Cricetulus griseus: one gene and its partner. The protein of the gene in region 2 purifies or fractionates together with the protein of the main gene of each other region. This does not show direct contact. Links are inferred from orthologs where the notes say so. Each region holds a gene or a part of one and is shown on either strand. Other genes may lie near its edges. The genes, in order: Capzb and Plekho2.

Region 1 (4,423 bases), on a different chromosome or scaffold from region 2:
CACAGAGCCATTTCTCTGGCATCTGAACTATGTATCTAATTCACAGAAGACCACCAAGACGCATTAGTGCCTACCACAGGATGTGCCCTTTGAACAACAGGAGGAGCCTCTCCTACCAGCTCCGGTCTGCAATGCCATCTGAGCTGGAGTGGCAGCTCCTGAGGAACCTCCTTGGCCTTTCACTACTACAGCACTACAATCAAGCAACAGCGTCTTAACACTCAGAATAATAACCCTAAATTAGAAGCCAGAGCTCTGATAGGCAAAGTGCTTTGAAATTGCAAAGCACTTAGGGACGGTGGTAAGACTGCCTGCAAAGGGAATGCATTTGCCTAAGCATTCTTAACAGGGACAGTGAACCAGACTCAAGAAAAAAAAAAAACTCAGGCTTCTCTTTCCCTCAGCAGATAAGTTGGAGCTAGAGTTGTTTGTTCTGCCACCAAGCCCACTGAAAACAAAACCATGGTGTTCATTACCTATAATATAGCTCCACTCTGCCAACTGATCCAACTGCCCACACCAGGGCATCAGATCATTCAAGCATGGTACGGATTTGACAACAGGCAGTCAGAAATTACTTAGAGGCCTGGGGGACACGAAAAACAAGCTGCTGAGTGAATGAGCACCAAACCTCAAGTGGCTAAAGCTCATAGACACCCTAAGCAATCTCTTGTTTCTTTTTTGAAACTCAGGGTCTCACTCTCACTGTGTTACCCAAGCTGGCCCTGGACGCCTTAACAGCTGATTACAGGTGTCAGCCTTCCATGCTGTATCTTTCAGTCTTAGGTTCTGCTCTAGAACCCAGACAGACAGAGGCCAAAAACACCAGACCAAAATCTCAGTCCCCAAAGAGCTCAGGATCAGGTCCAGGCAGACCATACTACTGTATCAAGATGACATTTCCGGTTACCAGGAATATCCACACCCAGTCTGCAGGAATAAGTACTCTGCCCGCCCTTGCCATGTTTGAGCATCCGGTCATTACGTTTCTTAAACAATGTCATTATATCAGACATACAACAGCCTACCAGGAAGATCACTGTCTGGAGCCCGCCAAGCCACTGCTTCCACTGGCCAAGAGTGGTCCATCCACAAACTGAGCAATGCTCTGAATGAGATGCAATGAATGCCCCAGCCTCTCTTCACCTGTCAGAAGATGGTGACAGGGGAAGCATAGAGGACTCTGGCCACTCCACTCCACTCCACCACTATCTCTGGCTTTGGCTCCCGGAGCACACATAGAAAACTTCAGTTGACTTTTAAAAGTCTCACCCAAAACTGTCCTAGACAAGTCCTTCCCCATGCGGACTAAGGCCACAGTCCAGACCCCCAGGCCAGTTTTCAAAGAACAATAGTATGACAGACAGTCTTGCCTACATTTTAAATCAATATATAGAAAGTTTATTAGCCAACCAGAATTAGGCACCCTAATTCAGTTGCTACACCCTTGATTAAACAAGGAACAGGGTTCCTCAAAACATCTAGAGCTCAAAGTCCACTCCCAAACATCTATCATCAGCAGGAGGGGAGCCGACCACAAGGCTGTGAGGCATGCAGCAGGTGGATGGCCTTAACTGTCCACTTTTCAAGCTTCCTTGACCATTTGAGGCCCTTCCATCTAGGTGCTGGACCTGCTCTGCAGAAGGTGTCCAAGTGGATGGGGGGCAGGGTTATGGGGGGACACCCCTAAGGCTCCTCAAATAAGCTGCTCACACAGTGTGCCTGCCTTCATTACCAAAACACACACCAGGGTTCAACCAGAGGGAAGTCTCAGCCTGCGAGTTTTGCTCACCTGTTCCGAGACACCTCCATAATCAGAAGTTCCAACCCTTACAAGCTGACAGTTCAGGGGGAAAGGGAGGCTTCGCCTGCTAGGGTGCATCGTATCCAGGCCATATGTTGGTCTCTGAGCTTGGTGTCCCCCCAGCCCCCATGCCGCGACCTCACAAGAGCGATTATGCGTTCATCCCTGTCCACTCGGCTTCGTCACCGTCAGCACTCTGCTCCCCTCTCAGGCAGGGCGGCCACGGGAAATGCCCTGGTCTGCCTTCCGGGCACACAGATGCCGCCCTTATGCCTCTTGCTCGCTCGCTCATTCCGAAGCGAAGCAGCCTCCCCAAAGGGGCAAGTCTCAAGTATAGGAAAGCACAGTACCCGGACCACCCCCACCCCGGCTGGGGCTCTCCCCCGCTTGCCAGGGACTGCCAAGAAGGAGCGTCCTAGGAACAGGGGAGGAGACACCTAGGTCGGGAGCAGGACACCAAGCAAGCAGAGTCTAGATGGGAGGGTGAGGATGAGAACGGCGGGCTGACGCAGACTAAGCCAAGTCGTGAGAAGTCTGGGGGAAGGGGATCGCTAGGGCCAGGGCCAAGGAGGTGCAGGTGGAGGGCACAGCAGGAGTAGAGTCCAGACTTGAGGACCACGGACAGAAGATTCCATGGGGGTGAAGGAAACAAACGTAGGCTAAGGCCACTAGAAAGGGGTCGTCGGGGTCCAGGCTGGGGCCATGGAGAGAAGAGTTTGAGTGGAGGGGGCCTAGCATAGGTCGCAGCAGCGAGAAGCACCATCCTAGCCTGGGCCCTGGGGCCGAGGTAGGGAAGCCTAGCTCAGGCCGTGGGATGCGGGCCTGAGAGAGGGGTGCCTGGCCCGGCCTCTAGGGGAAGGAAGGTCTAGCCTGGGATCCTCGAGACTAGCCTGGACATGCCGGGGAAAGAACCCGGCTCCACATGGAGCCCAGGGCGGGGTCACGCACCACCCGAGCCTCCCGCCGACCCCTCCGGACCTGAGGGGTGGCGTCTGCCCAGGGTCCCGGACCCCACCCCTCCCCCACCCCGGGTCCCACCCTCCCCGAGCCGGCGGGTCCGCGGGGTAGGAGACGGGAGCTCCCGAGGGGGGTCCCGGGATGGGGCCGTGGAGGGGGTCCCTTTACCATGGTGGCGGCGGCGGCGACGGTCCCTGTCCCGGCGTCTGTAGCTCTCCCCCCCGCAGCAGGGCCCGGCGCTTCCACTTCCCCCGGGTGCCCAAGAGTGAACATCCGGGTCCGCGCCCCCCTCCCCCCCACCCGCGCCGGCCGCCGCCACCTTCCTTCCCCGCCAGCCACCCCCCCCACGCCGCCAGCTCGCGGCCAATGAGCGAGCGGGGCCGCGGCGATCGCCAAGTATGGAGCTCTGCGCGGGGGGCGGGGACGGGGGTGGGTCCTGTGGTCGAGTGGGCGTGTTCTCATGGGGGAGGGCGGGCCCTACGCGGGCCAGGCGCGTTGGTTCCGTAAGCCCGGGGCTCGCGCGTACCGGAGGGACCTAGGCGGCCGTGGCACCCTCCTGCTGCCCACTTCGCCATCTAGCATCTGGAGGACACGGGGTACCTGAGGGTGGAGCGGTTCACTGGCCCCCCTGGGCGGAGGATGCGGAAGGCCCTGAACTAGGAGGGGACCGGCCCTCCGCGCCCCACCCGGACCCGGAACTGGTGCGCCAGAATGGGGCCCAGCCCCTAGAGCGCTAGCGGAGCCTGCACTGGGACGCCGGCGCTGCCGCCCCTGTGGCTGAACACCCGCTATCACGACCGGGGAGGCAGCCTTTAGGTACCAGAAGATGACAGGAGAATAAGCCTGAAGGATCCCTGCCCGCACTTCCTGGCTACCAGACAGGGTGGTCGTGAGGAAGACGCGGGTACAAAGATAGAACATTTGGGTTCAATAAATGCTGGCTGTTAGATATACTTTTCTACATTACCTGCAGAGAATCAGCCTTTTTGCCAAATGAGTCTTTTCCTCGCTCCATCCAGTGACTCAGGAATCCCTCTTTGTTTTCACAACTGAAGATTGAACTAGAGCCTCATACTTGCTACGCTGATGTTCTTACACTGAACTGAAGTCGCAGCCCTAGAAATGCACTTTTCAAAATGCTTTGTTGAGTTAATCTAGACTGCAAATCTTGCTCATAATACCTACCTACCAGACTTGCTCACCTTCTATTTAAAATCAAATCAGGTCGTAGGTGGGAGTGGGGATCAGTAAATTTCATCCCTGAAAGATTATGCCCGAGGCCTCTGAGCTCATAAACAAGTGAGAGCCTTCAGGAACAGCCAGTGAATGGTTAAGTCCCTCAAGAGTGGCAGTAGACCAGTATTACAGGAGGTCAGAGAAGGGAGTGGCACTTAGAAAGTCATCACTCCATAAGTATTTATTGTGTAACAATTGGCCAAGCATTATGCAGACTATGGAGATTGCAGCTATGGGCAAAATATCTCATGCTAGCCTAGAGTTTGTAGGTGAAATTTCGCTTCAGGAGATGGAGCCTCCTGCAAGCTGGATATGTACACCTGCCCTGAGTTAAGGCGCTGCTGAGCTTGAATGCTGTCAGGAGGTGAGTTAAGAAAAAGCATCAGAGTGGATGGAGGAGGTAAGCAGAGGTAGCTAAGCACTGTG
Region 2 (4,587 bases):
AAGAAAAATAAAAAAATACTAAGGACCTACTTTATCAGAGCTCTAGAATGAAGCATATGAAGAGAGGAGAAAATACAGGCCCTCCCTTGAGGGATCTTCCAGGCTCATGAGGACAGTACATAACCTGCCTGTGGGAAGCTTTAGGAGGGTAGGGGGCTATCTCCTACTCTTGTCTGCTGGGACACTCTTGGCACTTACCCTGGGGGATTTCCCCATCCTATCCTTCTGTTGGGGCGAGGGCCTGGGCCTGGGATTGGTATGAAGTCCTTTTAGAAGGCAGATGGATGTGGGGAAGTAAAGGGAAAAAGGCATCAGAGACTTTATTTACATTCTCGTGGCTCTGGAGAGCTGGTTCATAGTTAAGAGCACTGGTTGCTCTTCCAGAGGTCCTGGGTTCGATTTCTGGCACCTACATGGCAGCTCACAAACATCTTTTTTTTTTAAAAAAAAAAAAAAAAAAAAAAAGCTTTATTTTGTAAGTTGCTTTTGTCATAGTGTCTCTTCACAGCAAGAGACTAAGACAGATGTTTTTTGTTTTTGTTTTTGTTTTCTATATGGATGCTTTGTTTTCATCCATACCAGAAGAGGGCACCAGTTCTCATTACGGATTGTTGTGAGCCACCATGTGGTTGTTGGGAATTGAACTCAGGACCTCTGGAAGAGCAGCCAGTCAGTGCCCTTAACCACTGAGCCATTTCTCCAGCCCCTGCTCACAAACATCTTTAACTCTAGTTCCAGGATATCTGAAGTCCTCTTCTAGCCTCCACAAGCACCAAGCATTCAAATGGTTCACAGACAGGTTTGCACGCAAAACACACATACATATAAAAAAAATTAAAAAGACAACATTCTCATTCCTTTTACTACAGAAAAGGGACAGCAGAAAGAACAAGAGGTTAGCCCAGTGTCATAAAACCAGTGCTTCGACAGGGCACTGCCATGCCTGTCTCAATGAGAGTCAGGGCAAGTGTACAGCCTGGAGCCAGGGAAAGGCATGATTTTGGGAAGGCAATGGAGCAGAACCAGGGAGGCCTAGAGATAAGGTTTCCAAACTTACTCCAGGGACAGTAACAACACCTCCATTGATATCTTTGGTTTTCAAAGTTTTTGTATATACATTATCAAATTTCTGGATTTCCCTTCCCTTATTATTTTACAATTAGGAAAATGAGGACCAGAAAACACAGACAGATACTAGAGCCCAAACCAGCACTTCTCCAAACCTCAGCCTAACAGGGACCACTATCCTACATCCTACACAGAGGCCAAGGGAGGCTTGTCCCCAGGGTGCCTGGGACCCAGGAAGTGCAAAGCATAAGGGCAGAAAGCAGCGATGTGAAAGTGAGGTGAAAAGGTGGCATGAGGTCAGGGGCTGAGTGAGTGACCATATTTAAGAGGCATTTAAGAGAAGGATGAACACCGAGGCATAGGGAAACAAGTGAACACTATTAAGTAGGAAGCAACAAGAGTTAGGGGTACCAAAGAGAAAACAGGCACAGAGAGCCCCTTGACTCTGTGGATAAGACCTGGGGGTTACACCGAGGAAGTAACATAGGCAAGACTTTAATGACCCAGGTATGTCAGGAGGTTTTGGTATCTGGGAGTTAGAAAGTAGCAATGTTAGCGATTATGGATCACAGGGAGCATAGGGTTGTGCTGAGCCCAGGAAGCCCCAGGAGAACTTCCTTTAACTGGGGACCAGAGCAGATCAGGAGATGGAGTAATCCTGACCCACATCCTCTGGGAACACGGGAGGGACCTTGGGCAGAGAGCACAGCCATTACAGGAGGGGAACCGGAGGGGCAGGCAGCAGCCCCACCCGTGACAGCAAGAGAAACCACAGCAAACCATAGTGGCCTGACTTTGCCCCCTACCTGTACCCACTCTGAGTTCAGGGACCACAATCATACTGTTAGGTCTAGGGGAGGAGGCTAGGCCCTATGTTTTATAGAAGAGGAAACACAAACTAAGAGGGGAAGTGACTTATCTACCATCCCACACAAACTCAGGGTCTAGCCTAGAGGGAACAGAGCCTTGCTGCTCCAGGAAATACGCAAGTGGACACTGACAGGAACACAGGCAGCTGAGCTCACTGAAGGCATCCCAGTCGGCCAGGGTGGCTCCAGGGGGAAAAGATTCATCTTTCTTCCCCACCCTTCAAAGGATAAGAAAGTCTGCTTTTTAATAATTTCATGAGCATGCAGTAGGTAGCGGCTGTATCCTGGACCCTTGGATAATGGGAAACCTGCAAGAACAGAGGGCAGAGGAGGCTCAAGGGATGTTGCTGATCTAGACTTTGCTTCTGGGAAAGTTAGCCGACCTGGCCCTTCAACTAACATCTTCAAAAGGCATCTTTTGAAAAGAAAAGGGCAAAAGCAGTGGGGACTCTTGAGAGATTTACACAAGAAAGACAAAAGCAATTTCTTCGGTCCTGCCACCAGGTTCCATTACAGTCTCGTTCCTTGAGACAGTGGCCCAGAACCCCGAAGAACGTCCCTCCCCTAGCATACATAAGCAATCTGACCTCTCAGGAGTAGATCTGGCCATGGCAGGCAAGAAAAGCCAAGAAAGGGTGTAACGGGATTCAGTCACAGCAACCCAACTACTTTCAGTAAGTCACCCAACTCTACAGAGCCTCAGTCTCCCCGCCAATCCAATGGGAATCATGACAGGCACCGTTTCCAGTTGGTGAGAAAAGCTCAAAACATAACCGAGGATGCTGTTGTCGAGGTGCAGGACTAGACCTCCACCCCGGCTATCCCCCATCGGTCCAGGCTCTGCCTGAAAGAAGGGAAGGGAAAGAGTGTGCAGAGACCGGTCGAAGTAGGGCGGGCAGGACCCCAGTCCAGCACCCTGCTTCGTCTGGCCCAGCCCTCACCTCCTCTTCCATGGCGAGTCTGTGAGGTCCGGCCGTTCAGCCGTTTACTGCTGCCCGCGCCGCGCGGGCTTCACTTGCTCCATCTATGTGCAGCCGGGCGGCGGCTCGCTGTCTTCTGTCCCGCCGGCTGCCTGGGGCCCAAGAAACTTCGGGGGGCGGGGCCGGGGCCGGGGAGGGGCTTCCGGGGCCGGGGGCGGGGGGAGGAGTGCAGCGGCCCCCAGCCCCCGCCCGCTGCGCAATGAGGAGCGTGGCCCGGTGGGGGGTGCAGGGGCGGGGCCGGGGAGGATACTGGGAGGGGCTGGTCTTGAGCTCCGGGAATGGACGGAAGAACCCGGGCGGAGCTGAAGTAGCAGGAAGAGGGCGGGGAGAGGTTTCCCGGACCCAAGCAGAAAGAGAGCCTGGGGGGGTACCGACTGGAGAGATGGGGGATACGGAGGGGGAGGGGGCTTCCGGCCCAGAGGCAGAGGCGAGGGGGATGCGGGCGGGGTGGGGCAGGGCGAAGGCGTGGCGGGGGCGCGGTTGGCAGAGCAAGCCTTGGAGGCGGTGGGTGCTTGATGCCTTTGAGGTTGTCTAACCCAGTGGGCCTGGGTTGCGGGAATGGATCCAGCTGCCAGGACAGTTCAGAAATGAGTGCACAAAGAGGTTCCTACTCTTTCCGGGTTTTTTGTTTTGTTTTGTTTTTTTTCGTTCGAGACAGTTTCTCTGTCTAATAGTCGGCTGGCCTGGAGCTCACTCTGTAGACCAGGCTGGCCTCGAACTCACAGAGATACATCTATCTCTGCCTCCCAAGTGCTGGGATTAAGGACGTGCACCACCACCGCCTGGCTGTTTCCTCTTCTTTCCTCCCCGAAGTCTGAGTAGTAGCAATGGTTTCTAGCCTATGAAACTTCTGGGTGGAGCCGGGCCATGAGTTTGGGGTTTATAACCAGAATCGGAGTCTGGATTCCTGTCCTTTATGGCTCTCTGAAACCCCAAACTGCCGTGCTCATCTCTCCCTCGTTTAACCTCTCTTTGGTTCTCAAGTTACCTTTACTCCATCCAGCCCTGATCTGACCACATTGCTGGAGAATGGGGTGAAGAGACCTACGAGAAAGCCTTTTAATTCTATCATGCACTTTCGTTTTATACTGGAGAAACAGGCCTGGAGGATGACTGCCACATCCAAACCTCAAGCACCACACACACACACACACACACACACACACACACACACACACACACACACGAGCTTTCCAGGTCAGGTGTGCCCATGCTACAGCACCCAGAATTTTGTGCGTGTGGGATGGATCAATGGTGACCTCCTTTGACTCTGGCTGCCAAAGTCTCAGTCAGCTACAGCAGCTGACCAAGCTTCTCTTTCACTGCCCTCTGCTGGCCTTTAGGCTCCTGGGTCCTTTTCAGTTCTCCATGGAAGAGGGTGGAGCACACTGCTCGCTCATTCCTGGGACTGGTTCTTACACCTTAAGGGTGGAGATGGCTAGGAAGATAGCTTATTGGTTAGGAGCACTTCTGCTCTTCCAGAGGACCCACGTTTGATTCTCAGCACCCACGTAGTGGCTCACAACTGTCTGTAATTCCAGCTCCAGGGGGATCTGAGGCCCTCTTCTGGCCTCTTCAGACACCAGGCATGTAAGTAGTGCACAGACATGCAGGTAAAACACTCATACACATAAAATAATAAAATAATTTTTTGCCGGGGCGTTGGTGGC

What was found.
Region 1: the proteins of Plekho2 (region 2) and Capzb purify together in Homo sapiens (affinity purification with mass spectrometry; 3 studies listed by BioGRID and IntAct, counting the BioPlex papers as one, with this or other methods). This does not show direct contact. The link is inferred for Cricetulus griseus from reciprocal best matches to the Homo sapiens genes PLEKHO2 and CAPZB.

What each region holds. Positions count from the first base shown.
Region 1 is NC_048595.1:14,117,023-14,121,445, forward strand, and holds the start of Capzb (F-actin-capping protein subunit beta), read right to left. Parts: upstream 3,050-4,423; 5' UTR 3,035-3,049; coding exon 2,930-3,034; intron 1,898-2,929; exon of another isoform or gene 1,883-1,897; coding exon of another isoform or gene 1,793-1,882; intron 1-1,792. UniProt on the Homo sapiens protein: F-actin-capping proteins bind in a Ca(2+)-independent manner to the fast growing ends of actin filaments (barbed end) thereby blocking the exchange of subunits at these ends.
Region 2 is NC_048597.1:177,185,921-177,190,507, forward strand, and holds the start of Plekho2 (pleckstrin homology domain-containing family O member 2), read right to left. Parts: upstream 3,017-4,587; 5' UTR 2,891-3,016; coding exon 2,879-2,890; intron 1-2,878.